3 linked regions of the Alligator mississippiensis genome follow. The protein of the gene in region 2 purifies or fractionates together with the protein of the main gene of each other region. This does not show direct contact. Links are inferred from orthologs where the notes say so. Each region holds a gene or a part of one and is shown on either strand. Other genes may lie near its edges.

What was found.
Region 1: the proteins of PTP4A1 (region 2) and CNNM1 purify together in Homo sapiens (affinity purification with mass spectrometry; 4 studies listed by BioGRID and IntAct, with this or other methods). This does not show direct contact. The link is inferred for Alligator mississippiensis from reciprocal best matches to the Homo sapiens genes PTP4A1 and CNNM1.
Region 3: the proteins of PTP4A1 (region 2) and CNNM4 purify together in Homo sapiens (affinity purification with mass spectrometry; 6 studies listed by BioGRID and IntAct, with this or other methods). This does not show direct contact. The link is inferred for Alligator mississippiensis from reciprocal best matches to the Homo sapiens genes PTP4A1 and CNNM4.

What each region holds. Positions count from the first base shown.
Region 1 is NC_081829.1:100,971,169-100,981,252, forward strand, and holds the start of CNNM1 (metal transporter CNNM1), read left to right. Parts: upstream 1-5,586; coding exon 5,587-7,000; intron 7,001-10,084. UniProt on the Homo sapiens protein: Probable metal transporter.
Region 2 is NC_081824.1:54,211,894-54,222,372, reverse strand, and holds the start of PTP4A1 (protein tyrosine phosphatase type IVA 1), read right to left. Parts: upstream 4,708-10,479; 5' UTR 4,706-4,707; coding exon 4,601-4,705; intron 243-4,600; coding exon 150-242; intron 1-149. Other genes in the region: uncharacterized LOC128125822 homolog, read right to left, coding at 5,056-5,151. UniProt on the Homo sapiens protein: Protein tyrosine phosphatase which stimulates progression from G1 into S phase during mitosis. May play a role in the development and maintenance of differentiating epithelial tissues.
Region 3 is NC_081830.1:10,487,713-10,498,214, forward strand, and holds the start of CNNM4 (metal transporter CNNM4), read right to left. Parts: upstream 4,569-10,502; 5' UTR 4,441-4,568; coding exon 3,186-4,440; intron 466-3,185; coding exon 322-465; intron 1-321. Other genes in the region: LMAN2L (VIP36-like protein), read left to right, coding at 5,613-5,793, 6,101-6,219, 6,528-6,645, 7,667-7,749, 8,580-8,612, 9,074-9,235, 9,326-9,440, 9,708-9,827 and 1 more. UniProt on the Homo sapiens protein: Probable metal transporter. The interaction with the metal ion chaperone COX11 suggests that it may play a role in sensory neuron functions. May play a role in biomineralization and retinal function.

The sequences.
Region 1 (10,084 bases), on a different chromosome or scaffold from region 2:
GTTAGATGATATAGTTGCACAAATGCCCACACCTAATCTACACTAGATTATAGGTAGGTAGTTATAGTAGTTTGTAGCCAAGGGGCAGACAGGGTAGGTTATACCAATCATTTCAGCAGCAAAACCAAAATAGCAAGAAAACAGGGAAAAAGTCTCATTTTAGCCAAGACCTTAAAGACATGTCGCTAAGAAAGGCTGTGAAGAGTTAGTAAAAAACTTAGCACCTCCCTTCCTGATCGCCACCTGGCTTCAGCTTACACCCCCAAACTGATCAACACCTTCTCATGAGAAGGGTAAAGAGGAGGGTTTCTACAGGTATGTCAGCAACAAGAGGAGGATGGGGCAGTGCGGGTCCCCTCCTGACTGGGGAGGGGGCAACCTAGTGACAGAGGAGGCAGAAAAGGCTGAAGTGCTCAAGGCCTTTTTCACCTCGGTCTTCACAGGCCAGGGCAGCTCCCAGCCGACCGCGCCGGGCAGCGCAGCGCAGCGCAGCGTGGAGGGGGGAGCAGCCCGCAGCGGTGAGAGATCAGGTTAGGGACTGCTTGGGAAAGCTGGACGTGCGCAAGTCCATGGGGCCGGACGGGAAGCACACAAGGGTGCTGAGGGAGTTGACTGATGAGACTGCAGAGCCGCTGGCCATCGTCTTTGAAAACGCATGGTGGGTGGGAGAAGTCTTGGACCATTGGAAAAGAGCAAATATAGTGTCTGTCTGTAAGAAAGGGAAGGAGGAAGATCCAGGGAACTACAGCCTCACCTCAGTCCTTGGAAAAAATCATGGAGCAGGTCCTCAGGGAATCCATTTCTGAACACCTGGAGGAGAGGGTCTCAAGTTGTAGCCAGGGAGGTTTAGGTTGGATATTAGAAAAAATGCTCTCACTAGGAGGGTGGAGCAGCACTGGAATGGGTTACCTAGAGTGGTGGAGTCTGTGGCAGAAATGCCACCATTGGTGCCCCTCTCCAGAGACCTGTCTCAGCCAGCCTGGGAGGCTGGTGTTTCATTCCTCAGGGTGGGGATCTCCCACCTGGTCTACATGACAAAAGCCTGGCGCCTGGGAGGCGATGCTCTGGTCACCTGGGCAGGGGGGAAAGGCCCGGCCCTGCGCGGGCCCAGGTAGCCAGGGATGCTGGGGAGATTGGTCGGCTTGTGGCCAGTATTGGCAGCTTCGACTGGACCGGGCTGCGGAGGTCAGAGAGGTTATTTAAGGGCTTGGTCCAAGAAGAAGGGAGTCAGCCATTAGCCATGCGGTCATCCAGGTGAATCTGAGCCTGGCTCTCTCCTCATCACCGCATGCTCCAAGAGTGCCCTGCCTTCAGAGGATACAACAACCACCTCTGGACGATGAGAGTGAGTAAGCTACTCAAGATCCGATTAGATATTTAGTTTCAGTAACTCAGATGCGTTTAAACGGCTACCTCAGCCACCCTGGTTTGCTCAATGGGATTCCTTTGATATTCCTGTAAGATTTCTATGATATTGCTCTACCTTTTACCCTGTTTCCGCCCTACCCCCTGTCATCAATAAAGTTCTCCTTTGTGACCGGTGTGGGAGACTGATTGAGGGGTGGGTCTAAATTATGCCAAGGAGGCCCCTTAGGTCGGTGGACTAAGGGAGACTTTCCTAATAAGCCCCTGACTTGGGGAAGTGCCCCAAGTGCTTGTATTGGGTCTAGGACCCATTGGACGATCAGGCCTGCGTTCTCCAAGGCGCGCAGAGCCAGAAGTGAGTCCGGAGCCTTGGATGGTGGCAGCGGGACCCCAGGCTAGCAGGTGTGCTCCAGGGAAGGGGTCGGCCGGACGGGAGGCACCCCAGGGAGGCACTCGGAGCCTGGACGGTGGTCGGGCGCGGGGAGGTGGGCGGCTCAACGCAGGAGCGCCCTTTACTGGCCCGCCACAGAGTCGCCATCCTTGACTGGATATTGTTCAGATGCTGAGTGGGTATTGGGTGGATATTCAGATAAACTGTCTCACGATGAGGGCAGTAAAGCACTGGCACAAGTTACCCAGAGAGGTGGTGGACTCTCCATCCTTGGAGACCCAGGTAGACAAAGCCTTGCTGGGATGGTGTAGTTGGGGTTGGTCCTGCTTGGAGTAGGGGCCTGGACTGGATGTGACCTCCTGGGGTCCCTTCAACCCTCCTTGTCTGTGATTCTAAGGTGATTTGGAGCAGTCAGCATGGACTCACCAGGGGCAAGTCATGCCTGACCAACCTGATTGTCTTCTATGACAAGATGATTGGCTCTGTGGATGCGGGGAGACCAGTGGACAGGATATCCCTTGACTTTAGCAAGGCTTTTGATACCGTCTCCCACATTCTCGCAAACAAGCTAATGAAGTACAGGTTGGATGAATGGACTGTATGGGTTCAGAGGGTAGTAAGCAATGGCTTGATGTCTAGCTGGCATCAAGTGCAGTGCCCTGGGGTCAGCCCTGGGGTTGGTTTTGTTCAATGTCTTCATCAACGACCTAGACAATGGGATGAGTTCATCCTCAGCAAGTCTGCAGATGACACCAAGCTGGGGGATGTAGTAGATATGCTGGAGGGTAGGGCTAACATTCAGAGTGGCTGAGACACACTGGAGGACTGGCCAAAAGAAATCTCAGGAGGTTCAACAAGGACGAGTGCAAAGTCCTGCACTGAGGAGGGAGCGATCCCCTGCACCGGTGCAGGCTGGGGCGACGGGCTGGGCAGCAGCTCTGCAGAAAAGGGCCTGGGGGGACAGGGGACAAGAAGCTGAACAGGAGCCAGCAGTGCGCCCTTGGTGCCAGGAAGGCGACTGGCATCCTGGGCTGCATGGGCAGGAGCAGGGCTAGCAGATGAAGGGCAGTGATTGATTATTGTCCTCTATTCAGCACTGGGGAGGCCACATCTGGAGTCCTGTGTCCAGCTGTGGGCCCCACTATGGAAAGGATGTGGACACGTTGGCGAGAGTCCAGCGGAGGGCAACGACAATGGTTGTGGGCTGGGGGACGGGACTGGTGAGGAGAGGCTGAGGGACCTGGGCTTGTTTAGTTTAGAGAAAAGGAGACGGAGGGGGATTGAATAGCTGCCTTCACCTCCCTGCAGGGGGGCTGCAAAGGGGATGGAGCTGGGCTGGTCTTAGATGACAGGACAAGGAGCAATGGGCACAAGTTGCAGCAAGGGAAGTTGAGGGTGGATATTAGGGAAAAACCCTCCCACCAGAAGGGTAGTAAGGGACTGCAACAGGTTACTGAGAGAGGCTGTGGACTCTCCATCCTTGGTGGTGTTTCAGACCTGGGTAGACAAAGCCTTGACTGGGATGATGTAGCTGGGGCTGGTCCTGCTTGGAGCAGGGGGCTGGGCTAGACGTGACCTCCTGAGGTCCCTTCAACCCTCATTTTCTGTGATTCTCAAAACGACCCTGTCTCCCCAGGGCCCAGCTGAGATGCAGTGATGTGCTTCAGCTGCCAAGAGCTGCATTGGTCTCCTAAAGTCACTGAAAGACCATGTCATTTAATAAAATGACCCCCTTCCCCCATAGGAAGAAAAGTCGGAGAAAGGAGATGAGCCAGGTCTCCGAGCCCTGAGGAGACACTGGCAGACAAGGCACACTACACAGGTGAGGGCCCCCGCTGACAACACTCCTCTGTTCATGCCAAGCACCGTTACCAGCAGCTCCTCTGCTAACCTCAACCGCACGCTGCGGGGAGACACGCACTTTCGCACCAAAACTTGAAGGACGCAGTGTTTTAAAGATCATAGCTGCTGCTTTGAAGTGCACCTGGAATGAACCAGGAAGCCCCGGCTGCCTTGAGAGGATGGGAGCAATATGCTCCCTGCAGTTCATGCCCCCAAGCAGGGAGCCCCGGTCTGCACCAGCTGTCATTTCCAAATGGGATGAAAGGGCAGCTCCAGAGACAGCTCACTGCTCCACTACAACCAAAGCCAGGCATGAACAGCACTTGCAGTCTCTGTAGCAGGGAAAGGCTGTCCCAAGGGCGTATCTCCACCAATTCTTCTAAACTACCAGCCTGATAAGAAAGAGACCACCCAGCCATTTCTACTGCCAGCCTCACCCCGTACACCTGTGATGGGCATGCCGGGAAGTCCCAGATCACTCAGCCTCATCTGATGCAAGATTCACCCCGCTTGTTCTCATCTGTATTTTCTCTCAGCCAGGCATTGGGGAAACTAAGGCAATGCGCAGTCCAAGGCTGAAAGAAGGACAGAACTTGAGTTATCTGAATGCTGTAGGTATAAACTGGCAAGCTGTATCCCCCACCACCATGTGCTTCACATCCTCCTGAGCAGGAGCAATGGAGTGGAAGCTGGGTTTCTCAGAAACAGCATCACAGAGATAAACACAAAAATAATTGTGGAGTCACAGAGAGGTGGGACCTGCGAGGGTCACGTCTAGTCCAACCTCTGCCTGAGGCAGGGGCACCCCCGTCCAAACCAGCCCAGACAAACCCCATGTCCAACCTCAGAGCCACACGACACAGCCTCAGGCATCACTCACGCTGACCCCGGCCCTGCCACAGGGAAAGCAGTGGGGACACGGTGGCCAAGTGTCCTGCTACTGCAGGGAGTGTCAAAATATGCTTGAGAGATCCCAAGAAGAGGTCATGCCCCCAGCTACAGAGGAAAGCAACCCCCCCCAGAGTCCACGCCAATCTGACCACGGGGTAAAATTCCTTCCTGACCCCAGAGATGGTCACTGATCCGACCATGAGCGCAGCGGCAAGACCCTCCAGCCAGGACCCTGCGGGGTTGGTGCCAGCAGGAGCACTGGCACAGCCCAGCCCCAGCCAGGGCTGCAAGAGAAGGCCTAAAAACCCCTGACAAGTAACAGCAGGAGGGGAAAAAATTCCCTCCCGGCCCCAGGTAGCCACCAGCAAAGCCCCACAGGACAGCATAGCTACGCCTAGATCATCCCCGAGCAGAACCTGCTCAGCCCCGTCCTGAGCAGCTGCAGTGATGGGCAGAGCCCACCCCTTTCCTGGGGACGCTGCTCTAACCGCCACGTTTTCCCATATCCAGTCTACTCTACACCCAGTGTGCAGCAGACTCAAATCCTCGCCCTGCTGTCCCGCTGCCACCCCACCTCCATGGGGCAGCAGGGCCCAGACACAGAGGCCGGCCCCAAGGGTCAGGCCAGTTGCAGCTACAGCACAGAGGCAGGGAGCGGGGAGCTAAGGCGACCTGTGCCACTCCGCCAGCCTGGAAAGGGACAGCGCTGCCGGCCGACCCGCAGGCCTGCGCCCCAACGCTGTGGGTCAGAAGCAGAAGTCTCTTGCTCTCACCCACCCTCCCCAGGAGCTCCTGCTGTTGCCTCTGGTCTAATTGGGGGGGTGCCCGCTCTGACAAGGCTCCATCAAAGCCCCAAGGGAGGCGCTGAGGCGGCTCTGGCCAACTCTGGCTTCAATGAAAGCAGAGGAAGGAGGCAAGCCCTGTCCCCGCATCCGTGCAGCTGCGGGCAGGAGCAGCGAGCCGGCAGGCGCGGAGGTGAGGGCGCCCGGGCGCGGCTCTCACCTGCTGCAGCCGCCCGCCCCGCGCGCCTCCCCCCGCACACGTGGGGCGGGCGGGCCTGCGTGCCGCAGTGTCACGCGGCGGGAGGGCGGTGCGGGATGGCGGGCTGGGGCCGGGGCCGCGGCGCGGTGCTGCTGCTGCTGCTGTCGCCGCCGGCCGGCGCCGCCTGGCTGCTGGGGCTGCGGCCCGAGGACACGGCGCCGGGCCGCGTGTCGCTGCGGGGCGGCGCGGTGCAGGCGGCCGAGGGCTCGCGCTTCGTGCTGCGCCTCTACTTCCAGCCGCGCAACGCCAGCCTGGAGCCGGAGCCGCGCCTCGTCTTCGTGGAGGAGCCGGCGGCGCCCACGGGCGCGGCGCGCTGCGGCCCGCACGGCGCCCGCGCCCGCGCCTCCGACGTGGAGGTGCTGGGCCCGCTGCGGCCCGGCGGCGCGGCCGGCTCGGCGCTGGCCGACGTGCGCGTGCGGGAGCCGCGCAAGGGCAAGGCGGCGGGGCCGGCCGGGCGCCTCTTCTCGCTGTGCGCCTGGGACGGGCGCGCCTGGCGGCACCACGGCGCCGGCGGGTTCCTGCTGCGCGTGCGGGCGCGGGGCGCGGCGCGGGGCTGGCGGGTGCCGCTGCCGGCGGGCGGCTGGCTGGTGGCGCTGGTGGCGCTGGCGCTGCTGGCGCTGTCGGCGCTCTTCGGCGGGCTGCGCCTGGCGCTGCTGGCGCTCGACCCGCTGGAGCTGCGCGTGCTGCGCAACAGCGGCTCGGCGGCGGAGCGCGAGCAGGCGCGGCGCGTGCAGGCGGTGCGCGGCCGCGGCGGCACGGACCTGCTGTGCACGCTGCTGCTGGGCCAGGCGGGCGCCAACGCGGCGCTGGCGGGCTGGCTGTGCGCCGCGCTGCCGGGGGACGCGGGGGGCGCGGGGGGCGCCGGCGTGCCCTGGCTGCCCGTGCTGCTCTGCACCGCCGCCGTGGTGCTGGGCGGCGAGGTGCTGCCCTACTCCGTGTGCTCGCGCCACGGGCTGGCGGTGGCGGCCCGCACGCTCTGCCTCACGCGCCTGCTGCTGGCGGCGGCCGCGCCGCTCTGCTACCCGCTGGGCCGGCTGCTGGACTGGGCGCTGCGCCGCGAGCTCAGCACCTGCTCCACGCGCGAGCGCCTGCTCGAGACGCTGCGCGCCGCCGGGCCGCACGACCTGGTGGGCGAGGAGCTGGCCATGGTGCAGGGCGCGCTGGAGCTGCGCACCAAGGTGGTGCAGGACGTGCTCACGCCGCTGGCCGACTGCTTCATGCTGCGGGCCGACGCCGTGCTGGACTTCGCCACCGTGTCCGAGATCCTGCGCTCGGGCTACACGCGCATCCCCGTCTACGAGGGCGAGCGGCGCGACAACATCGTGGACCTGCTCTTCGTCAAGGACCTGGCCTTCGTGGACCCCGACGACTGCACGCCGCTGCGCACCATCACCCGCTTCTACCACCGCCCGCTGCACTGCGTCTTCAGCGACACCCGCCTGGACACGCTGCTCGAGGAGTTCAAGAAGGGTGAGTCGGGCGCGGGCCCTGGGGAACGGCAGGTGGAGCGGGTGGCCCCAGCAAGGCCCCCCGCTCGTAGTCCCCGGGGGAGCGTGAGGGCTGCGCGTGCATCGTTAACGCCGTCCCCTTGAGCCCCGGGGCAGGGTGGACACTGCATGGCCTTGGGAAGGAGCCGGGGCAGTGGTCTGCAGGGGGCAGGCCCAGCCCTCACCCTGCCTGCATCGCTGTCTCGCTCGGTGGCCTTGGCCCAGTCCCTTGCTCCTGGCTCCCCGGAGCGGAGGCAGCCTCAGCAGTCTGTGCCTGGGGTGGACGCCAGGGCAGCTCACGTGGGGTTGGGACCCGTTTCCCCTCGGGTCGCTTAGGGCCTTTTTGGGGCTGCACTACAGGAGTGTCACGTCCAGGAGCAGGCACGTACCAGGACCGGCCACTGGGCCCCTCTCAAAAATCCAGTTACAGGGGTCCCCAAGCACAGGACGGGGCTTGTGGTGCCAGCTGCTGGGGCCTCGGCCCGCAGGCAGCTCGGTCCTGCTGCCCTTGCTTCCTGGGCAGGTGGGAGCAGGCCGGGGGCTGGCAGCAGTTCAGCTCAGCGTGGCCCAGGGTGCACGTGTGCCGTGCTGTTCCTGCGGAGGTGAGCGAGCAGGGCAGCCAGGGGTGAAGAGTGTGCAAAGCTGCAAAGAATTAGTGTGCAAGTGACTCAGAGAGAGGCTTGGGGAGAGCTGGGCCTTCTGCTGCTGCCGTGGCCTTCTCTGTGCTGGCAGGAGCTGCCTGCTGATTTAGAGGCTGGGCTGCAGCAGAGCTGCTGGGAGAACTGTGCTCCTAAACCCTTGTTCCTCCAAGCCTGGAGCTGTCACCACCGGCTGCACCTCATCCCCCCCCCAAATGGTGCTTGATGCTGTCAGGGAGCTTTTTTCTTCAGAAACGACTACAGCAGCAACACGCTGCATTACGTAACCGTAAGAGATGGGAACCAGCAGCCTCCCTCCGTGCCCCCGTCTTCCCTGCAGTCACGTGAGAAGCTGGTTGGGTCCCTGCTCCCCGCACCCGTTCCCTGCCAGTGCGCAGGGGGAGACGGCTTGCACTCACGCACCGATCTCAACAATGCGCCTGCAGCAATTTGGCATCTTGGCCCCAGACTCTGCAAACCCGAGTCTTGTGCTATGTGGATGCTGCTTGTGCAAAGCATCCAAACCCTCCCTCCTCTGCAGAGCATCCAAACCCTCCCCCTGGCTCAGGGTCCGGTCTCCTGCCGGCAAACCTTAGCCAGATCTAGCTTAAAGCCTGTTTGGGTTTTTGACCCTGCTATTCTCAAGAGCATCAGCAGTGCCAGACTGGGTCAGACCAGTGGTCCATCTAGCCCCGTATCCCATCTGACAGCAGCAAAAATGGTTGCCACATAGGGGAGCAGACCCAGATTAGATCTACAGTGATCTATCCCCCAGTTCAGCACCCTCCCTGGCATCAGTCATCGTTGGCTTAGAGATGCCAGAGGAAACAGCTCCGAGGGTCCGGTTCAATAGCCATTAACAGATCGATCCTCCCCAAGTTTATCCAGGCCTTGCTGAACCTGGCCGTGCTCTCTGGCTCCACCGCTCCTGGGGCAATGAATGTCACGAGTTAATGACGCGTTGCATAAAAAAGTACTTTCTCTTGTTAGTTTTAAGCCTGTCACCTACTCATTGCAGCAGATGCCGCCTTGTTCTAGCACTGTGGGACTCGGTGAATGACAGGTTGCTGTTCACTCGTTCGCACCCTTCATGATTTTACAGACCTCTACTCCTTTCCAAACTGAAGAGCCCCAGCCTCTCCTGGTACAGCGGCTGCTCCAGGCCCCTGCTCCTTTTGGCTGCCCTTTCCATTTCCAACATCACCACTCTAATGGTTAGACACTTTCTTCTGGTTTCCAGCCCATTTATATTCATTTGCTCTTGGGCTAACACTGTCCTTCAGCTTAAATCATTCTTCTCCCTCCCGGCTGGTTACCCCTCCCTGTATTTGTAGGCAGCAGATTGAAACCATAGGGTTACAACTTACAATAGCCGGGGAAATCCTGGCTTGCTTTTCCCCTTCCCTTCCTTCGTAAGACAGGCCAGAGGAAAGGACAGCCTAGCTAGTCGCACTTCTCAGCGCCTGCTTGGGTTTGAATGAGTTGTTTTGGGAAGACGGGTGTACGCAGCTTCCTGCTTAAATCAGTGCCTTGGGAAATGGCGTTACGGCCTTCCCCTTCTCTCCTGGGAGTTCTTGCCCAACTCGGAGAGCTGCCTTTGCCTCTTCCAGACCACGTCATGCTGGCGGGTCAGTCATCCTGCGACCCTCTAGTCTCTCCTCTCAGTTGCATCTCATCCAGGGGCTCCTAGCTCAGAGCAAACGTTCGTACCAGGCCCCAAGGGCTCAATGTTGCATTTGTACAATTAGGTTTCTACCCACTTCTTTTACTCCAGGCCTCAAGATCGTGCCTTTCTTCCTGCGCAAGACACTGCTCCTCCTCCATATTGTCTCAATGTTGGGAGGCATCATCGTCGGCAGTTTTCATTAGCACATTCCAGCTTCTTGTTCCCGAGTCTCACAATATTAAAGTGAGCCCCTAGACTGGTCCTTAAGGGGTGTCACTACTAACTTTCACCTCGTGTGCCTAGTTGAAGGGTAAGCAGTCTCCCTTTTAACCAGGGCCTTGCCTGCTGCAGCTCCTCCTCGTCCATGTAAAATTAATAAGCTTCCTGCATGCAGCGCATCAAGCATGACTCAAGTCCAGGCAGCAAGTCTGCTGCATTTCCTTTGTCTAGAAAATCAGTTTCTTTATGGAAGAACTACACCTGGCTCATTTGGCACGGCCCGTTTGGCAGGCGCCTGTTGTCCTTTAGCCACTTTAAATTCACCTCCACGTCTTTACGATTTTGCCCTCCAAAGCCTATTCTAAAACCTGCACATGCTACTGAGGGCAGATGAACAGGTCTGTAACTGCCTGGACCACTTCCACACTTCTGGACATGCACACCACACTCGCTTTTCTCCATCCGCTGGACACCACCCCTTCGCCAGGAGACTTATCCACCCCCCTTGCTGCCAGCCCTGCTGTCCTATGTGCCCGTTTCCTCA
Region 2 (10,479 bases):
TTTTCTCCAAAATAACATTCATTTAGAAACATCTAGGACAAATGCATTAGAAATTCAGACAAATTGAGACCTTACCAAAGACATTATGAGCTACTAAATGCTACATAATGCTATAAAGAACTTCCAAGCAAATTTTTCAGATCACTCACCAAAACTTGAATGCCTTCTTTTTCCACTGGAGCTGTGTCATAAGTGGCTTCACATACTCTCACCACTGTGGTAACTCCATACTTCTTAAGTTCCTGAGGAGGAAAAAGACATTTTTTTCTACATTCCCCTGACTTTTACCATTTGGCTTTCCCAGCAGGACACACCTAAGTACTTCCTACACTTTAGCTTACTAATAGGTTTCAAAGTTTCAGTAAGGTTCCCTCCAACCCAGACAACAGTCTTCCAACTAGTAAGCAATGTTTTTATGAATGCAGCTGCTATGCTGATTTCAAGCATACACCGAAATAACATCAAAAGCCTTCAATATTTCACCTCTAAAAAAGTTTCTTCAAATTAGTGCTCTCTTCCTGGCACTGCTGAAGTCCAAGTACACTGCTAGTGCTGCAAATTCTTTCAATGACCAGATTTAAGTTACAGACCAAGAAGTACCCCTAAAGATGACCTATTCACAGGAATCTGCACTTCTCTCAGTCAGCCTTCAAAGAACAAATTTTAGACAAACAGTAAAAATCAATGTATTGTCATTTTAGCAGCTAATAAGCTTATCCTGTAGTACAGTGGTCTCCAACTTCTTTGGGTAGATCACTTTTTGAATTAAAAAGCAACCCAAGATCTATCCTACACCACCCCACCCCTCAAGGTCAGTCTGTGGGCAGAGATGGAGGGGGCAGATTGAAGCAGAGGGGAAAAAAATTATTTGGGGACTCACCCCACCCAACAGGTAAGTCTGTGGGTGAAAAGGACTGGGGGTGGTGGGGGCAGACTGAGGGCCCAGCAGTGAGGGAGGGAGCAGGGAACAGGCAGAAGTAGGGGCTGGGTGGAGTGGGTCTGGCTGGGCCCAGTGGTAGGGCAAGTGGAGGCCTGGAAGGCACATTGTCCCTCTGGCCTCCGCTTGACCCCCACTTCCCCAGCCCCCGCTCCTACTTGTGCCCTGCTCTCTCCCTCAATCTGCCCTCCACCACAGCGGTGAGTGAGGGAATGAGCAGGGACAAGCCCTGCATAGGCAGGGCAGGTGCAGGATGGAGCCACGAACAGCTTGTATGGAGGCCACAGGGGGCACATGACCCCAGATTTGCACGTGGGCCCGGGCCAAGCCAGGCTCTTCCCAGCATGATTCATTGGTTGTGCGGCGCTTGGGCTGGGTGGCAGCGGTGCTGGCAGTTGCAGCACTGGGAGCAGGCGGTGGGGGGCTACAGCAAATTTTCAGGTGCCTGCAGCCCTGCTCCCAGCGCTGCCACTGCCCGGCTCAAGAGCTGTGCAACTGAAGAGCTGTACCAGGAAGAGCCTGGCACTGCCCTGGGTCCAGCCCGCTTTGCCCCGTGTGTAGATCTGGGGGCATACGCCCCCCATGCCTTGCCAGGCTGCATGCCTCCCCTCCCTGAGCCCCCTGGACAAGCCGCTTGTGGCTCTGTCCTGCGTGTGCCCCAGTTGTGCAGGGCCTTCCCCCTGCCTCATTCCCTCTTTCACTGCTGCGAATGCCACCCCTCCCTACTCTTGCTGCAGCCACTAGAATCCTGCAGCCGGGCTGCCTTGCAGCCCTACTGCTACCCTGCACTGGAGGAATGGGAGCTAAGCCCTGTTAGCCACCCCTTTCCTCCACCTATACGCACCATGTCCCCTGCCACAGGGTGAATGAGGCCCTGGCTGGTCCAGGGGAGGATCAAAGCCTGGGTAGCTTGTCCAAACACATGGGGAGGGCTCCTGCTGATGCATGCACCCCAGCGGAGGCCCGGGAAGCACAAAGATTTTGGGGCTCAATCCCCAAGAGGTAAACTATCAGCATTTGGCATAATGTTGATAGGGACCTTTAAGCATGACTCTAAAAAGAGCACAACAAACTGTATTTTAGCAAAAGAAAATGGTCATCTACTTTTTTGTACCTTTCAAAGAGCCTCCTGCCAAAATAGTTTACTTGATCATCAAGTTAGCAGGATTTTTCACTGAATACTTCCAAATTACTACAAGGATCTTAACATTGTTGTGTTTATTTATTCCGTGTGGCACGTTAGGAGCTATGCTAAATCACATTTTTTCCCCTGGAAGTGTAATGGAAATAGAGATGTAATGCATCACTGCCATTATGATTCTGTAAGTATTTTTACTTTTAAAAATACCCTAAAGCATTTTGGAACAGACAAGCTGCATACATTACTAGCCTGTGCAATTATATAACATGGTATAATTGCCCAGTTTACTGCTGGTCACGTCTTATATTTGTGTTCTGCAAATAAGGCAAGCTTAACATTTAGGCTCTTATCAGGACAGGGATCTTGAGCACCACTCACTACAAAAATGAAACTCAAGAAAAATCCTAACTAGCCCCCCATAATAGTCAGTGTCTGGAACGGAAGACGAAGGGATGTCTTAGCTTTAATTGAGGGGTGTCAAAGATAAGGCATACAGGTCACATTTGGACCATGCTGTCCCTGCATCTTTTGAGTTAACTCACATCATGTGACATTCCCCAGCTCATTCCAGTGCATAAAGCCCGGGACTCAGGATCTGTTCCATGGCCTATTCTGTCCCTATGCACAGCATAGTACTGGACCAGCCAAGAGCGAGTGCCACATGCATTGGACCTGGCATGTGGGAGGCAGGTCTGTGAGCCCAATCCAGAGACTCATCCAACCCTTTAATTGGTAAAGGGTGTCTTTATTTTTATTCAGAACTTGTTCTTATGATTTTGTGAGGCAAGAGCATAAGAGCTTTATCTACTTATTATGGCACAAGCTAGGCAGGATGGCACTCTCTTTCTCTCTCTATTAGAATACATGAATAGGAACTCTTGGGATCTGGGATTTATATTCTTCAGCCAAAAGCATCCTGTGCAAAGGATCAAAACAAGACTGTCTACATCAGGGGTTAGCAACCTACTGCTTGTGGCAACTCAGGGAATTGGCAGCATTCTGCAGCTAGGGAAGCAGAGGTGTCCCCACAGTCCTACTGGCTGCCTCATTCTGTCCTAAGCATCCACTAATTACCAGACAGAGTTGTAGAGATTTGCAGCCTGTGGCAGGAGCTGGGTTGCAAGCAGTGGCTTGTGACAGCAAGACGATGCTGACTCTTGGCCTATACCAAGCCTGAGTAACACCAGTTCAGCTGAGGCAGCACAAAATACATCGCAAGCTAGATTTACTCTGCTTCAGCACACTATGTGCTACCATGACTAGACTGCTACCAGCACTCAAGCTGGCTAGTTTAAACAATCACTCTACCACACTGCAGTAAGATTGCCTTATTTGCATATCTAAAACCTACTACACAAGTCTGACTCAATCCATAGTAATTATTATTAGTCTTTTGAAGCAAGGCACGAGTGACACACACTGTATGGTGTGTAGTAAAAGTTTCTAACCCCTGGCCATAGCCTGGTACCGGGCCACAAAGGTTTGGCTGCTGGACTGGAAGTCCAGAAGTGACCGGCATACTGCAGATGGGCAGCCAACCTTTTGTTTATTTATACTGAGAATAAAAAAGGGTTGGCTGCTGTTCCGCAGTATGCCGGTCACTTCAGTTTGCTAGTCCACAGTCACTTGCCCTCCATGGTCTAAAAAGGTTGGGAACCACTGCTGTGTAGTGATTCTTTGGGATGTTTTCTTGTTTCCTCTACAAGAGCACAAAGGAAAGCTTCTATGGGAAACCCAAATGTCAAAAGTAGATCTCAGGCCATGTTTACAAGGCTATTCAAAAATGCTACTGCAACAGATTTAGACGCCTCAAAGTTAATTTTGGCTTAAAATGGCTCCAGTACCAAATGTGAACTTGTGCCAAGCCAGATTTCAGCCAGCATGAACGTAGTTGGAGTCCCAGATACGTCTGTGTATGTCACATGAATTCTAAAACTACTGTAGCTCCACTGCTACAGCTGATGGCCAAACTAGCTTTATTTAGACAACTTCTGCATACCTAATAAATACTTGCAGTCACATCTAATTAGTACCAGATAGTCTTAATATATTGCCCTTTCCTCTCCCCATCTTTATGGATTAACGGTAGTAAAAATCAGCTGCTGAAGACATGACAGAACTAAAGAATTGAGCGATCATTAATTAACAAAACCTAATAAATGCAAGTTAACTGTGATCCTGTCAATGTTCTGTTGTTTTAATTAGATTACATATTCTCTTTCTGCCCTGTACCTGTTGATCAGTAATAGTACCGTTATGATCATGCTTATGGTTCATTAAAAAATAAATATACTGATGCAATTTGATAGAGGAATGATTTTCATGAGTACAGTAATTCTGTAAAACATGTCTCACTGCTTGCGAGAATCACTATGACCCAAATCCTGAGTCAACAGGAAGAGCACTTAAGAACTGAATCCCATTAGTAAATATATTATTAAAACACATACTGTTCTAGGTTTTAAAAGCATTGTATTAAATAAAATTAAAAAAAAAAAAAAAGCATTTCGTCCAGACCTTACCTCGATAAATTTGTTTAAGGTTGCATTGGTTGGATTGTGTGTGATAAGGAATCTCATGTTCTTGTAGGTGATTTCCACAGGAGCTGGGCGGTTCATTCGGGCCATATTAATTTAGTTAAAAAACATGCAACAAGATTATGAAAGGATTAAAAAATTCTAATACAGAAATGATGTAGAGAAACTGAAGTCTACTTCACTATACTCCACTTGAAATTCTCAGTGCTTGGAAGTATGAAGTTGGGAGCAATGGGAAATGAAATGAACGTCCTAACAAGAAGCAGCAATTCTTCAATCCAGTAATACTGAGGCAAAAGAAAGGCAGTGCACTGAGGTTTACCCCATCCAGGTCTGAACTCCTTTGTAAAATGCGCTGCCAATTTCAATTCAACACTTCTTATCCTGGTTAATCACTCTTAGGGGGGCTTCTTGGTGGAGTAGTAATGAATTTCTACAGTTCACTTGTCTGCATAGAGGTCGTGCTGTGCCTGGCAGTAGTCTCCACTGCCCTTCAGAAACTCCATAAATGTGTGACCAAGAACACCACAGAACTGCTGTAAAGAAGGGAGAGAAAAAAAAAAAGTTACTTCAGCTACTGTTCCCAAGTATATGTACAACTTAGCTCAAAATATTAACGCTTACTAAAAAGTAAAACGAAAATGCATACAGCGTAGATTTCATAGACTTTAGGGCTGGAAGGGACCTCAAAGATCATCAAGTCCAGCCCCCTGCCGCAGGGGCAGGAAGTCAGCTAGGGCCAAAGGATCCCAGCAAGGTAAGCATCCAAGCATTTCTTGAATGAGTCCAGAGTAGGTGCTTGCACCACTTCTGGAGGGAGTCTATTCCAGGTCTTGGGGGCTCAGATAGTAAAGAATTTTTTTTCTTATGTCCAGTCTAAAACAGTCTTGGAGGAGTTTGAGACTGTTGGTCCTTGTTTTTCCTTGGGGCGCTCAGGTGAACAGACATTCTCCCAGGTCCTGATGCACACCCTTTATGTACTTATACACCCCTTATGTATGTTTACAAATCTAATATAATTTCAGGCAGTGGTCACCAACCAGTCAGCCCCTGACAGTCAAAGCCCCCTCAGACTGAGATCAACTGTCAGAGGCTCTGCAATCGGGAATGGCTGGGACGCAGGAGCGGTAGGATGCACGTGGCTGGGCTGAGCTGTGCCCCCTGCCACCAGGGCCGGGCAACTGGGAAAATACCCCCCACTGCATCTCCTACCACTGGGTGAGTGGGACCCTGGCTGGGCCAGGGGTGGGTTGGAGCCCAGGTGGCTTGTCCAGGCATGCAGGGAAGCTCCCGCCACTGCACGCACCCCAACAGTGGCAGCCTCCCCCCGCCCGCCCCAGCTGAGCCACCCAGGCTCTGACCCTCTCCTGGTCTGGCCAGGGTCCCACTCACCCCTAGCCATGGGGGCCTCGATCTGCTTCCACCCCCCAGACTGACCTACTGGGCAGTGGGGGGGTGAGGGCATGGTAAATCCTAGATTGTCCTTTACTTCAAAGTGATCTTCACCTTAAAAAGGTGGGAGACCACCAATTTAAGGTATCATATTAGAATTTTGTTTTCTGCCTATTCAGACTTTAGTATTTTATTTCCAGGTATCAGTGCTTACTTTTACTCAGAAATGCTATTTTTGTTTTAGCAATACAGGTACTCCTCACTTAACGACCTACCTATTTAACGACCGCGTAGACTTACGACCAGCTCTCCGAGCAGTCAGTACTCCAAGCAGGAGGTTGTTAAGTGAGGAGTACCTGTATTGTGGAAACGGCGCACCGCAGGTTCAGCACCGCTGGGCGGACAGCTCCCGCGCTCGCAGCCCGGCTCCTCGCTTATCAACCAATTCGCTTAACGACCGAGTCGCAGGAACGGAACTCGGTCGTTAAGTGAGGAGTACCTGTACAATATTTTAAGAGTTGCAAGACCAAAATATTTCTAACAGAACTTTTATTCAGCAATTGTAATTTTTTTAAATGTAGCACTTTTCTAGAACTTTTTAGAATCTTAATTCAGTCTCAATTTACTAGAAGAGCATCAGAAAACAATCACTTAGGCTATATTTCTTGAAATTAGTGCAAATTATATTTATTTCATCTCCAATATCTGCAGCATGTTTTAAACACAACTTTCATTCTCTAAGTAGAATTCACACACCTCTGCCTTGCCCTCTAAGCACAGATACTATGACACTTGTTTTCCATACAAGGATCATTTCATGCTCAGAGGGTGTTTTCCTAACCGCTCTAAGTCCATCCTGTTCTGAATGGGTATTTGGAATTCAAGTATACTAAAAACATTAACTGGTAGCAATGTCTTCAAGAAATGGAATAAATTGCTAAAAGGAAAAAATGCCTCTTTAATCTAATTTACTCTAACCTCTTAATTTAAAAAGTAGAATCAATTATTTCTACTTCAAAGACGTGAACAGAGTTAACTAAATTCATCTGCTCAGGAGAGACCTAAAACTGAAACAAGAATTTCACACACTATAATAGATGTACACTGTCAGCATTGTGGGGAATCTTGCACACCACATGCCTGGCTCTAACAAATATTATTAGTCTAGCCACCCACACATTCTTTACTGCCAAGTTATTTTTAATAAAAAGCCTTCTTATTTTAAAGCATATTGATTGTTTAGTAGTGAAAATATGCAACAGGTCTACTGCTTAGGAGATACTCTGGCTTACGTTAATATTCTAGTTCCCATTTAAATTGTTTTGTTGATTCCCCATTTTGTAATTATTCAGGTTTTTGGGGGGGGGGGGGGTTTGGTTTTTTTTTTACTTAAGCCACCTGACCCATATAAAATAAAAACATTATTCCTGCTTACTAGATCTGCTTTATGTTGCAAAAATGAAGGTACTGCACTGTATAGGCATTGCTGGTAAGTCTATCACAAGTTGCTTTGAGGAAATTCTAAGCATTTACATGCAGATACAGATACTTGAGCGATAAGAATAATCATTAAAGAAATCATTATAAACTTGATTTATTGTGATACCTCATGCTACAAGGAGCCATTTTATGCTCAAAATGAACACTGTAACATTCTGAAGTCCCTGTTCTACTTATAGGGAACTATGATCAGGGAAGTGGGTAAACATGCATGCAATGCTAGTCACCTACTATGCAAAGGACTAAAAACATCCTCTGGCAAGGAGACATAGGAAGAGGTCTGCATCAAAGTCCAGGGAGTCTATCCACCTCCACACAGTTGGGCATGAGGTAAAAACAGGGATTTTAGTGTTGCCTTGGATGGTTCTCAAGAGTTTCAAATTACATATTTACAGTTAATATAAAAATGTGAGGTTCCACCCAACTTGAACATAGCTTTATTTCTTGGCCTTCACCCAGTTTCCCTGATGCAACAATGGCCACTGTGACTATGTGGCTGGTCCTTTTAAACAGTAAGAGGAATGCTGCAGATATTGGAGATGAAATAAATATAATTTGCACTAATCTCAAGAAATATAGCCTAAGTGATTGTTTTCTGATGCTCTTCTAGTAAATCAAGACTGAATTAAGATTCTAAAAAGTTCTAGAAAAGTGCTACGTTTAATAAATTACAACTGCTGAATAAAATTAAGTGTTACCACTGTAAAACAAAAAAAAGTCCGTTTTTAGCACCCCTCTTTAGATTTGAGACTATAGCATATGCGAAGAGATAACAGGGAGAAGTTTCACTCCATCTACACCACTTTTCCACAAAATGCGTGTTTTCTCCCAGGAACGCCAGTCTCTGCTTCTGAAGCGACTCACCAACCTTCCTAAAGCATAAACTGACATGATTAGAAGGTTCACTCTTGTGAATAGGATACTGAACAAGTGCAACACCAGTTAGTGTTTTGTCAGTATCACTATCCATTTGCCAGTCAGATACTAAACCCTTATTTGCTAAAACTACTATTTTATTTCCATTAGCAGAGAAGCCTCAGGAGAAAGTATAAAGGTTAGAGGAGTTTGCTCAGAAAGATAACAAATGTATATTGCAGATTGGTAGCTCTGTCTGATCAAAAATGAAGTGACCCCCATCAACATTTTAACCTCCTTGGACATTCTAGCTATGACCTCAGAGTAGTTATTCTCAAGCAAAACTTTAAAAAGCTTGAATGGAAAAAAAAAAAAGTCACTGAACAACAACAAGACACCCACAGACTGGATTGTATTAAGTATAATCTAACCAGAGCAGTCCAACTTCTGGGCAGCTGGGGGGGAGCACCCACTGTAAGGACCCATCTCACATGCAGCAGAAGCAGCTGGCCCCACCATGCATGCAACAACAGCACCCTTGCCCCCTCCTGCTACAGGAGCCAGTGTAAGAAAACAGCAAGATGAAGGTGGGATCACCAAAAGAACTCAGATGCTGCAGCAGGAACAGCAGCAGGGTGGGAGCAACGACAACCATGCAGAGAAGTTTAAGTCCCCAAAGCTGATCCTCTGAGGTCTATCTATATCAGGAGTGTGCAAAATACAGCTTGGGGGCTGGATCTGGCCCACCAGGCCATTCGATCTGGCCCACGGGGCCCCTAAAATTTTTAGAAAATTAATATTTATTTGCTCCTGGCTGCCTGTCAAAGATGACAGGAGCCAGGGGCAGTAGTACCCCGGGAAAGCTGGCAGCAGGACCCAGCAGCATGGCCTGCCCAGCCCCAGCCCCCCAACCAGAAGCCCCTGCCTAGCAGAGGCAGGTGCCTGGGACTGTGGGGCTGTTCCTGCTTCCCTGGACTGGAGAGGGAAATGCAGCCTTCAACATCTTACTAAAACCCAGTAAGCAGCCCTCCGCCTGAAATAACTGCCCGCCCCTGATCTATATGCAGCCCATGGGCTGCCACTAGGGACTTCCCTAATCTAAATCAAAACTACAGGATTCTTATCCCATTACTTGAATTTCTTTAGCCCCTATGTCCCTGGGTTAACTAATTTGTTTTTCCTCTCTCCCATCCACCTCTCCCAACAGTGATCCCTTCTTTTGCCTACCTTCTGTATACTAATCACAGCTGTCTATTCAGAAGCTCTACTTCTTGCAGTCCCTTCATTTCATGAAGTAAGCAGCTACTTAAGAAAGCTTGTAATATCTGATTTAGTCAGTCTATAACAGGCTTGTCCAACATGCGGCCCTCCAAGGTGTTTTCTGAGGCCCGAGGTGCTGCGATGGGAAATGAAAGTAAACACTGTAGTTTCGTTTGGGGGGGGGGGGGGGAAGATGTGATACCGCTTCCTGGGAGGTCTTTGAATATGGTTCGCCAGCCCACTGGGTGATAAAAAGTTCATGATCTGGCCCCACATTCAAAAGGTTGGACACCCCTGGTCTGTAAGGTGTACATCTATCCTGCCTTCTGCAAACTACCTCTTCCCATTCAATACTAACAGATAACCAACAAGTTAAGTGAGAATATGCCACAAAAGACTTTGAGAGTAAGCAGTTAGTTTGCTATTACTGAAAAGGATGATCTAGGGACGCAATGCAAATAAAGGACTGGATTTATTTGAAGTACAAGAGAAACAACAAATTACAAAAGCCTGAGCAATATTCTTGAACTGGATGCAGAGAGATGGAATTTTACTGCAACCTCTTTTTCGCTAGGCTCAGGGATCCAGGTTTTCCATTTCCCATGGAAAAGGGAGTAAACTAGGAGTTTTGTCTTTACATAGATTCATACAATTGAATTCATATGATTTAGCTATATATCCCTCAAGTCAAACTGCATCTGTGAGATGTCCAAGGCAAAATGGATCTACCCGCGTACTCCAGACCTAGACTCACATGCAGGGAGATAACTGTGTTTACATGTGATGGAAAATGGGCTGACAGCAGAGCTTTGTGGGAGTCCCATATAGCTAGAAGAGGGTGTTGAAGATTTTCCTAA
Region 3 (10,502 bases), on a different chromosome or scaffold from region 2:
ACCCTCATGTTCCCCCAGGCTCAGGCAGGAAAGGGGGTGGCTACAGAGGGAGTTGTGGGGTGCCACAGAGCCTGGCAGGATAGTCGTGGGAAGGGGCTGGGGCCCCAGGAGGGACGGGGGGCCATGGTGGGGGTGGCAAGTCTGTGGGGTCAAGAAGCATAGCAGATATAGGGAGGGATGCGTGGGGCTGAGGACCCAGAGAGAGCTAGGGGAAACCATGGGGACTAGGGGAGGGTTGGTGGAACCCAGGAGGGAGCTGTGGGGCCCTGGGGGTGTGGAAGGCTGTGCTAGGGGCTGTGGGGGCACGGGCGGGGACCTAACTGTACATGTCGGACTCGTCAAGGATCTCAGACTTGATGATCTCCTCGATGACATCCTCAAGCGTCACCAGCCCCAGCACCTCGTAGAAAGGGTCGCCCTCGCCCTCGTTGTTTACCTTCTGCACGATGGCCAGATGTGACTTGCCTGCGTGGGCAATGGAGGCATGGGTCTGGGTCAGGGGACGTTGGTGGGAGGGGCACTCCTCACCCATCCCCACACACAAACCCACAGAGAGCCGGTGGGATGTGGAGACAGAGAGAGCCTCCTCACCCACACAGGTGCACAAAAACGCACATAGAATGCATGCACCCATGTACACAAGGACACAGACCACAGGCCCACATGTGAAAACACAGTCTGCCTGTACATTCACGCACACAGAGTGCATCCCTCCACCCCCAGAGTGCTTGTGCACAAATGCATGCAGTGAATGCACACATGCACAGAGTGCATGAGTGTGCACACACACCCGTGCATGCATGCAGAAGGCGTGCGTGTGCGCACGCACACACACACACACACACACACACACACACACACACACACAGTGTGTGTACACACAGGGCATGTGCTCACCCATGCACAAACAAAGCACACACACATACAGTGCTTACCTGCACTCTCCCCACCACTCTCTCTCACCCCCCCCTCCCCAAACCTCAGGCCCTCTAATAAGCGGGTTCAGGGCAATCACCTCATTAGCAACCAAGGCAACTCAGCTTCTAGAGCCTCCCCATCCTCCCACACCCCTGGGGCCAGAACTGCAGAACCCAGGAGTCTGGGCCCCTACCCAAAACTCCATGGGCCCCTCACCCATCTGCCCAGCTGCCACACCTCTGGCTGCCACCATGCAACCCGCTTCTGGGGTGCATGAGCTGCCACAACTGGCACAGAGGCTGGGGGGGGTCTAGCACCAGCTGGGAGCTCAAGGTTGTCCAATGCCCCCCCAGATCCCCAAGGCACCTGTGCCCACAACCAACCCAGCTGGGGGGGAAGGGGAGGGGCGGGAGGGGGGGGGCAGTAATCCCAGCAAAAATGGCTGGCAGCCAGGCCTCTAAACTGGGATTAGGCCTGGACCAGAGAAAATCCTCATGTAGACAGCAGATGCAGGGTCACATGTGGGGTGAGCTGGCCAGAGGGGAGGAGCAGTGAAGACCCCCCTCCCCAGGCCAGCTGGTGCCCCCAGGTGGAGCTGGTAGATGACCCCACCAGGAGGAGATCAGCCTTGATTCTCCCAGGTCTCCTCCCTGTGCGGGTCAGGGCCAGCCAGGCTGCAGCCACCCCCAGGCTTCCTCCTCTGGCTGATGGGGACCCTTAACTGGGGGTCTTGCAGGGCATTGCACTGACTGCCCCCTCTGCAAGGCAAGGCAAAGCCCCCTGCCTCCACCCCCATAGGCACTAAGGAACCCATCAAGCCCCTCTGCTCTACTTCCTGTTCCAAACTGCTATGGGAGCCCTGCCAGGCTGGGGCGGATGCCCCCCCCACACCCCCCTAGCCACCCAGACGCCCATAATTACAGCTTAAGTCACACTAACTGTGGGGCTATTCATAGCAAGTGAGCTCACCATGGGCAGAACCACGCCAGCTGCCACCCCCTCCCCTTTTTGTGCCCCCCACAGCCAGGTATGCTCTGGTCCTTGCAGTTGGGAAGAGGGAAACTGAGGCCAGAAAGGGACATCCCCCAGCTGCTCTGGGGTGGAGGCTGCTGCCCGGCTGTGCCCGCACCATGGGGGGGGGGGGGCCTGAGGGGTGGTGCTCCCAGGTGCCTGCCAGGACCTTTGGACCTGGCTGCTCTCACAAGCATGTTGCCTGGAGTGGGCAAGTGTAGACCTGAGCCAGTAGAACAGCATATCCCTGAAACAAGCCAGCCTCAACCTGACCCCAACCAGCAGGGAAACACCCTGGGGAGAGAACCCTGAAATCTGGGCATGGCTGGCACCCATGGCTTCCTTGGGGAGGGGTGGGGGGGGTGTCAGTCCAGGGATTGGGTTAGGCCAGGGCCACGCCACATCATGTAGCCTGCACAGGCTGGGGCATCACTGACCCCCAGCAAGTTTGGGCTAAGAACCTGCTCCCACCCCACAGCCCACAGGGTGCCCACCCCAGGCTCAGATCAAAGCACAGCAACTGTCTGGTTAGGGGGGAAAATCAGTTGTGTTGTCAGCCCCCCCCAAAATTAACCCCCTAACAGCTCCCTGCCCCCCACCCCCTCTAGCTCCTTTTACTTCCGGGGTGAGGGAAGTCAGTCCTATCTCTCCTCGCTGCACTTTCACTTTCGGGTGTGCTAGGGCATGCAGGAGAGGCTGAGGCATGGACCCTCAGGGGGCTGGACCCAGGCCTGGCTGGAGCCGAAGGATGGGCCGGAGTGGGGTAGACCTTGCCCAGGGAGATTCCCCCCTCCCAGCCCAGGAATCGACAGGTGCACCCAGCAGAGACACTCGGGGGTCTAAGGAGCCGGAGCCAGAGCTGCCCCGGCCCTGGGCAGGTACCAGGTCCCTGCCTCATTAGAGCCCCAGCAGGGAGTTGGGGCCTGCCCAGGAGTTGCCAGGCATCTAGAGGGAGGACAATCCCCGGCTGGCCAGAGTCCAGTTACCCCAGGCCCGGCCAGACTAGTCCAGACAGATGCGCTTTATCGTAGACCAGGCCAGGCCCAGGGTAGCTCAGAACAGGCCTGCCCTAGTTATCCGATTCCAGCAACACCAGTTACCCCAGGCTGGGCCACAGTCAGCTTAAGCTCAGGCCAGACCAGACGCTGGTAACCCAGACCAGGCCTGACCCCAGTGACCCCAGGCCAGGACACCCCCCCCCCCACAAACCCTCTGCCTGCCCGCCTGCCTGCCCTGGCACGGTGTGGCACCCTTACCCTTCTTGAACTCCTCCAGCATGGCGTCGAGCTTGGTGTCGTGGAAGACGAAGTGCACGGGGTGGTTGTAGAACTTGGCGATGGTCTTGAGCGGTGTGCTGTCGTCAGGGTCCACGAAGGCCAGGTCCTTGACATAGAGGATGTCCACAATGTTGGAGCGCTCATCCTCGTAGACGGGGATGCGGGTGTAGCCACTCTCCATGATCTCTGACATGGTGTTGAAGTCCAGCACAGCCTCAGCGGGGATCATGAAGCAGTCATGCAGTGGCGTCATGACGTCCTCCACCGTCTTGGTGCGCAGCTCCAGGGCCCCCTGGATCATGTTCAGCTCCTCTTTCACCAGGTCGTTGTAGGGCTCTGTCACCTTCAGCATCTCCACCAGCTTCTCCCGGTTGTAGACGGTGCCGATCTCCTGGCCCAGCAAGCAGTCCAGCACTTTGCTGATGGGGTAGGAGAGTGGGAAGGTGAGCAGCATGAAGAACTTGGTGAGGACGACAGTGTTGGCACCCACGGCCAGGCCGTGCCGCGAGCACAGGGCCTGCGGCACTATCTCGCCGAAGATGACGATGCCCACGGTGGAGGCAGCCACAGCGCCCAGCCCGGAGCCGATGAGGTCCTCCAGCAGGATGGTGAGGGTGGTGTTGACCAGCACGTTGCCCAGAAGCAGCGAGCACAGCAGGTAGTTGCCGTGGCGGCGGATGGGCTCGATGCGGCGGGCGTGGCGGCGCTCTGTCTCTGTGCCGCAGTTCTGCACGATGCGCAGCTCCATGGGGTCCAGCGCCATCAGGCCCAGGTTGAGCCCACTGAACATGCCCGACAGTGCCAGCAGTGCCGCCAGCAGCGCTGCCTGCAGCCACGTGGGCAGCAGAGACCGCTTCTCCTCCACCACCACCAGGCGGCCCTCGGCGCCCGCATGGCGCTGCCACGGCTGCCCAGGTGCGGCCCGCGTGCACAGCACGTAGGCCTTGGCCCGCTCCCGCTTGCGCAGCGCCCGCACCCGCAGGCGCAGCACGGCCGAGGCCTCGCCCGCATCCCAGGTGCCCCGCTCCACCTCCACGTCGGGCGAGGGTGCGGCGCACGTGGCGTTGGCGGCCCCCGAGGCGTTGGCGCTGCCCGGCGCCTCGGCGAAGGCCACCAGCTCCCAGGTGTGCGCGGGCAGCCCCAGGCCGAAGAGGCGCAGCGCCACGTGGCTGCCCTCGCCCACCTGCACGCCCGCCGCCAGGCCCGGGGCCTGCGCCTCCGGCTCCAGCCGCATGCCCACCACGCGCGGCGGCCCCGCGGCGCCCAGCCCCGCCGCGCCCGCCGCCCGGCCCAGCAGCGCCAGCGCCAGCAGCCCCAGCGCCAGCCCCAGCGCGGCGCCCCGCGCCCGCCCCCGCGACCCCCGCCGCGGCGCGCCCGGCGCCATCTTCCGCCGCCGCCAACTGCCCGCCCGGCCCGGCCCCGCCCCCCCGGCCCGGCCCCGCCCCGCCCCCTCAGGGCCGCCGCCGAGAAAGGGGCGGGAAGAGCCGCCGGGGCGGCAGCCCTGATGCGGGGGGCGGAGCTGAGTCGCGGCCGGAGGCGCTGTTGTTTGGAGGCGGCGGATCGATCCGCGGCAGGGGGCCGGGGCCGGGGCCGGGGCCGGGGGGGAAGGAGCGGCCGGGCCGCCCCGCTGTACCGGTGCCGTACCCGGAATGGTGTTGCCGTGGCAACAGAGCAGGCGGCCCCGAGGAGCCGTGGCGGCGCTGGGCCATTGCCCCCGCCTCAACCCTGCTGTCACAGGCAGCACCCCCTGCCCGGTACCCCGGAGAGGGGGTGGGGGGGTGGGGAGCGGGTTGCCCAGCAACCAGTACCATGGCGTGGCTAAGCAGCCATCACCGGGGTTACCTGGCAACTGTTACCACGTCAACGCAAAGCCACCATCACCCGGGCATCCCCACCAGCCCGCTACTCCCGTCGCCAGGCGACCACAGCCCTGACACCACGGCACCCGTCACCATGCCACCAGGACCAGGGGTCGCCTAGCAACTGCGACCCTACCGCTGCTCAGCAACTGACACCAGGGTCACCGGCAACCTGCCATGTCAAACCTAAGCCGCCCTCTCCAATGGCAAAAGGCAGGTGGGGGGGTCACTCGGCAACCATCACCACGCCGTCCGTTGTTAGGCAACCACCCCCTCACATCAGGGTTGCCCGGCAACTGTTTCTCTGTCGCCACCCGCCGCCGGCTCCCGAGGGGGGGGAGGGGACTCGAGCTCTTTAAGACGGGCCGGCCGAGACAGGAAGTGCCTATCCGCACTCCATTCCCCGGCATGCCCCGCGGCAGCGCCCCTCCCCTCCTAGCGTGGGGATGGCGGGCCCCCCGCCAATGGCCGTGCACCGCTCTGGTGGGGGGGCGGAGTCCCGCGGCTGAGGGGCAATGACGGCGGAGGCCGGGCGCCCCGGCGACCAATGAGCGCGCGGGGCGGGGCCGCGGGCAAGATGGCGGCGGAGGGCCGGCTGCGGTGTGTGGGGCTGCGCCTGGCCCCAGCCCCTGCCCTGCCGCTGCTACTGGCGACGCTGGTGCTGGCGCGGGCCGAGCAGACCGAGGAGCACTTCAAGCGCGAGCACTCGCTCACCAAGCCATACCAGGGTGGGGGCGGGGCGGGGCTTAGGACCCCCCCCAGGGAGAACGGGGGGCTTGGGGGCGGGGCTTGAGATGACGGGGTGGAGCTTAGGGGATCCCAGGTTGGAACTGAGGGTAAAGGGGCGGGGCTTGCGGCCCCCAAGCGAGAACTGAGGGTGTGGGGGCGGGCCTTTGTTTCCCAGGGGCGGAGCTGAGGGCACTTGGGGGGCAGCTAGATGGTCACAGGGTGGGGGCTGAGCCCGCAGTGCTGGGGGAAGCCAGGCACTGCCCCCCAGGCCACAGTGGGTGCAGATGCTTCCCTCCCTGCCCCCAGGCGTGGGCTCATCCAGCTCCGCGCTCTGGGACCTGCTGGGCAACGCCATGGTCATGACCCAGTTCATCCGCCTGACGCCTGACCAGCAGAGCCGGCAGGGCGCCGTCTGGAACCGCGTGGTGAGTGCTGCAGCGCGGGATGAAGGGGCTGGCTGTCAGCTCTAGCCTGGACTCGGGCCGGTATGCAGAGCAGGGAGGAATAGGACCCCCCCCCCCTTCACTTTCCCTTTGTTTCCTTGATCTAATGGACTCCCTGCTCCTAATGAGCTTCGCTGGGGGATAATTGCTTTGTGAGGAAACCAGACACTGGGGTGTAAAGGTGCTGGCTGCATGGCCGTGATGCCCAAGGGACCTGCCTTGGAGCCAGGGAGCATTGGGCCTGTGGTATCCACATGCCCCTGACCATGCCTATGCTCTCCACTTCACAGCCCTGCTACCTGCGGGACTGGGAGATGCAGGTCCACTTCAAGATCCATGGCCAGGGCAAGAAGAACCTCAACGGCGATGGGTTCGCCCTCTGGTACACCAAGGACCGCATGCAGACAGGTGCTAGCCCAGGGAGTGGCTTTGAGGAAGGTGGTGGCGAAACATGGGGAGACAATTGTAGACTCACAAGAAAAGTGGGGCGGGAAGGGACCGGCAGAGGTCACAGCTGGGCCAACCCCCTGCCTGAGGCAGCCCCGTCCAAACCTTCCCAGACATGTCCATCATCTAAACTCTCCGCAAAATAATCATCAGCCCTGGTGCCACACCAGACATCGGTCCTGACCCTGCTGCAGGGAAAACAGGGGGACCAGGGCAGCCACCGTCTTGTAAAAGGTGGTTAACAGATGATAAATGATCCCAGGCAGAAGCCATGCCCCCGCTACAGAGGAAGGCAAAGCCCTCCCAGTCTGTACCAGTCTGAGCAGGGGAGACCCCAATGCAGCATTAGTCTGAGCCTGAGCAGACAGCAAGACTCTCCAGCCAGGAACCCCCAGGGTTGAGTCCCAGCAGGAGCATTGCCACAGCCCAGTCCCCATTCCCAGCCTGGGCTGCAGCCAGCACCCAGTACCTCTGGGGAAGGTTTAAACCCGCCCTGTCTGCTGCTACGTGGGGCAGGGAGGACAACCAGCAAAGCCCAGAAGCCCCATAGCAGAACACAGGCATTGCCATGCCTAGATCATCCCAGCCCAGCAGCTGTCTGACTTCTCCTTGAATCTCTCCAGTGATGGAGAGTCCACTGCTTCCCTCGACTCTGCAGCTTTGGACCCCCTGTGGCTACTCTGTGCTCTGGATGCTCAGAGCACTGACAGGAGTTGGTGGGGTTATGTGCCTCCAGGGTACAGCTTCTCTCTTAAGCAGTACAGGTTGGGTCACTGACCTCAGCCACGTGGTCTGACTGGCCTTTGAATGCTACCACTGCCGAGTGGAGGCTTCTCTGCGTGTCAGGTGGATGAACTGGGTTGTGGCTCCTGATGGGGCTCGTGACTTGGTTTACCCTCGGGGTGTGACTTCAGGGCCCTGTCCAGAACGACATAGGGTGGCAGATGGCTGACAATCTCTCTCTCCCTCCCCCCTCGTGCAGGACCCGTCTTCGGGAGCAAGGATAACTTCCTGGGGCTGGGCGTGTTTGTGGACACATATCCCAATGAGGAGAAGCAGCAGGAGGTGAGGGGCACTGGGAGGCCACCTGGCTGGCTTATGGCTTTTGGCACCTGTGGGGCCCTCTGCCTCTCTCCTGAGTTTCTCTCTCCCATTGCCTCCTCTGATGCTTTGTCCATGCGTGGTGGCCATCTATGGCCCCTTCTATGTTCAGAGCAAGAGCAACAGACATAGACATGGCTGCCAGCTGGGGGAGAAGAGAGAGTGAGTGCTGACCCCTTGAGGGCAGGGGATACTGCCAGGCTGGGAAGAGGGAAGTGGTAGAGCCCGCTTTGCAGTACAGAGCCCTCAACTCTGGAGGCACATCCTGGACTCCCACTGCCTGTGCCAGCACCTCGGATCTCCTCCTGGGCCTCTGAATCCCATCATGCGCTGAGCTCTGCTCTAGCATGGGCCTGTCCTCTAGTCTGGATCTCTCTGGGGCATCAGTAGGGAAGGGAATCCATGAGCTAAGGGGCATCTTTCTGGCTGCTTTTTGCCCCAAACAAAGGTATCACTTGGTTCCAGGAAGGCCCTTGTCCAGGAGTGTGTGGCAGGATCCCTTGTCTCTCTGTGACCTGGGGTCTGGCTGCCTCTGACCTCAGCGCACAGATCAGCAACTCTGGAGAACTGGGAACCCTTCTCCTAGCCCAGCCTGAGTCTGATCCAGCCTTTCAGGTTCCTGCCTGGCTCCACAGACTGGAAGGGACCCCCAAGGAAGCGTGGCCAGGGTCTTGGGGCTAGGGCAGCTTTCCTTGGCTCTGCATTTCCTGAGATGGCCTCTCTTGGAGGGTCTGAGATTTGTGACTGTCTCGCTTCTGTACCTCTTTTGCTTTGCACTCCCCCTGGGGACTCAGGCTCAGAAGAGGCGCTATACCCCTGGAAATCAGGTACCCACTCACGGGGGGGCAGCTGCCAGGGCTATACCAGTGCTCAGCCTCTCCTGCATGCGACTGTGGCTTCCCTGATTTTCGTGGTTGGAGGGGGGAGTTTGCAGCACCTTCCCTTGGCCATCTGGTGGAGGGGAGAGACTGCAGCCCATGGCTGGTGATGTACAGACCTAGAGGCTGCCATGGCCTGCATATCCCTGCAGCCAGGCTTCCCCAGATCTCACACCAGGCCAAGTGTGCTATGGGGGCTCTCAGCAGCATGCATCTGGGGCAGGTGGCCATAAACAGAGCTGAGGGGCATCTCCTGGGGGGTTCTGTTTAGCTGGTGGGAGGCTACAGCCATGATAGCCACAGCTTCCAGCCTAGCTGCCTCAGCTCAGAGCTGTGCCCAGAAGCCCTGCTCCCTGCAACTAGCAGTGAAGTGCGAGTGATTGCTCAGGTCTCCTCTCCTCCCACTGCAGCGTGTGTTCCCCTACATCTCTGCCATGGTGAATAATGGGTCCCTGAGCTATGACCACGACCACGATGGACGCCCCACAGAGCTGGGTGGCTGCACCGCCATGGTGCGCAACCTGGACCATGACACCTTCCTTGTCATCCGCTACGTCAAGCGACGCCTCACAGTGAGCATGGGGCGGGGGGGCAGCAGCAGTCTAAGGTGGGATGCGTGGCATGACCCAACCTGAGAGCTGGTTTTTCCATTTGTCCTCCAGGTCATGATAGACATCGACGGAAAGCACGAGTGGCGAGACTGTGTTGACGTACCGGGTGTGCGCTTGCCACGAGGCTACTATTTCGGCACCTCCTCTGTCACCGGGGACCTCTCAGGTATCGGATCCCCTGTCCCCAGTGCCAGGCTCCACAGGGATGAGGTGCTCTGGGATCAAAGGCCCCCCTTCCTAGCAGCCCAGCAGGCTGTTACGCAATGCCGTGGCACCTGGTGCTTACTGGAGCCCAAGATGTTTCCACCAGAGCAAGGTGGAGTCGGCCTGCAAGAGCCCCTTGGGTGCCTGGGTCCCTCACACATGGCTTCCCTGTGCCTGGGGGCCTGCCTACAGCTTGGTACAGTGCCCACATGCCCTCCTGTGCCCACAGATAACCACGACATTATTTCACTGAAGCTCTACCAGCTCACAGTGGAGCGCACGCCCGAAGAGGAGAAGTGGGACCGTGAGGTCTTCCTGCCTGTCGTGGACAACATGAAGCTCCCTGGCTGTGAGTGAGGGAAGGAGGCTGCAGCCATGTGCCCAGCACCAGGGGCTTAGGGCCCAGCCAAGCCTCTCTGCAGGGCTGGCATGGGCTCTCAAGGATTGGGGGGGGGGGCGCGGCGGCAGGCTCATGCCATCACCTGCCTCTTGCAGTGGACGTGCCACTGGAGCCCATGAGCGGCCTGGCCCTCTTCCTCATCGTCTTCTTCTCCCTGGTGGCCGCTGTCTTTGCTGTTGTCATTGGCATCATAGTCTACAACAAGTGGCAGGAGCAGAGCCGCAAGCACTTCTACTGAGCTGTGGCTGGCATAGGGGCTTAAGTGCTGCCAGCGCACCTCTAGCCCCTGCACCAGAATCCCAATGCTCCTGGGTCTCTGCCTTGTGCCTGGAGCTGCTGCTTCCCCTGTCCCTGAGCGCCTGCCATCAGTGCCTCGAACTTTAGCCCTAGGTCTAGGACATGGCCAGGGCCCTCACAGTCGCACCAAGACCACCCCACCACCCTGGGTGCCAGGCCCAGCTCTGTGAACTACTGGGACCGATATGCTGCTGTCTGGGGGAGCTGCCTTGGCCTCCCGCCTTTGGGCACTGCTGCCAGAGCCTCAAGCTGCCCCCAAAGCCTGGCTCAGCAGCTCCTGCCTCAGTCAGAGTGCCGAGGGGAACAACGGGTGATGCTACCTCAAGG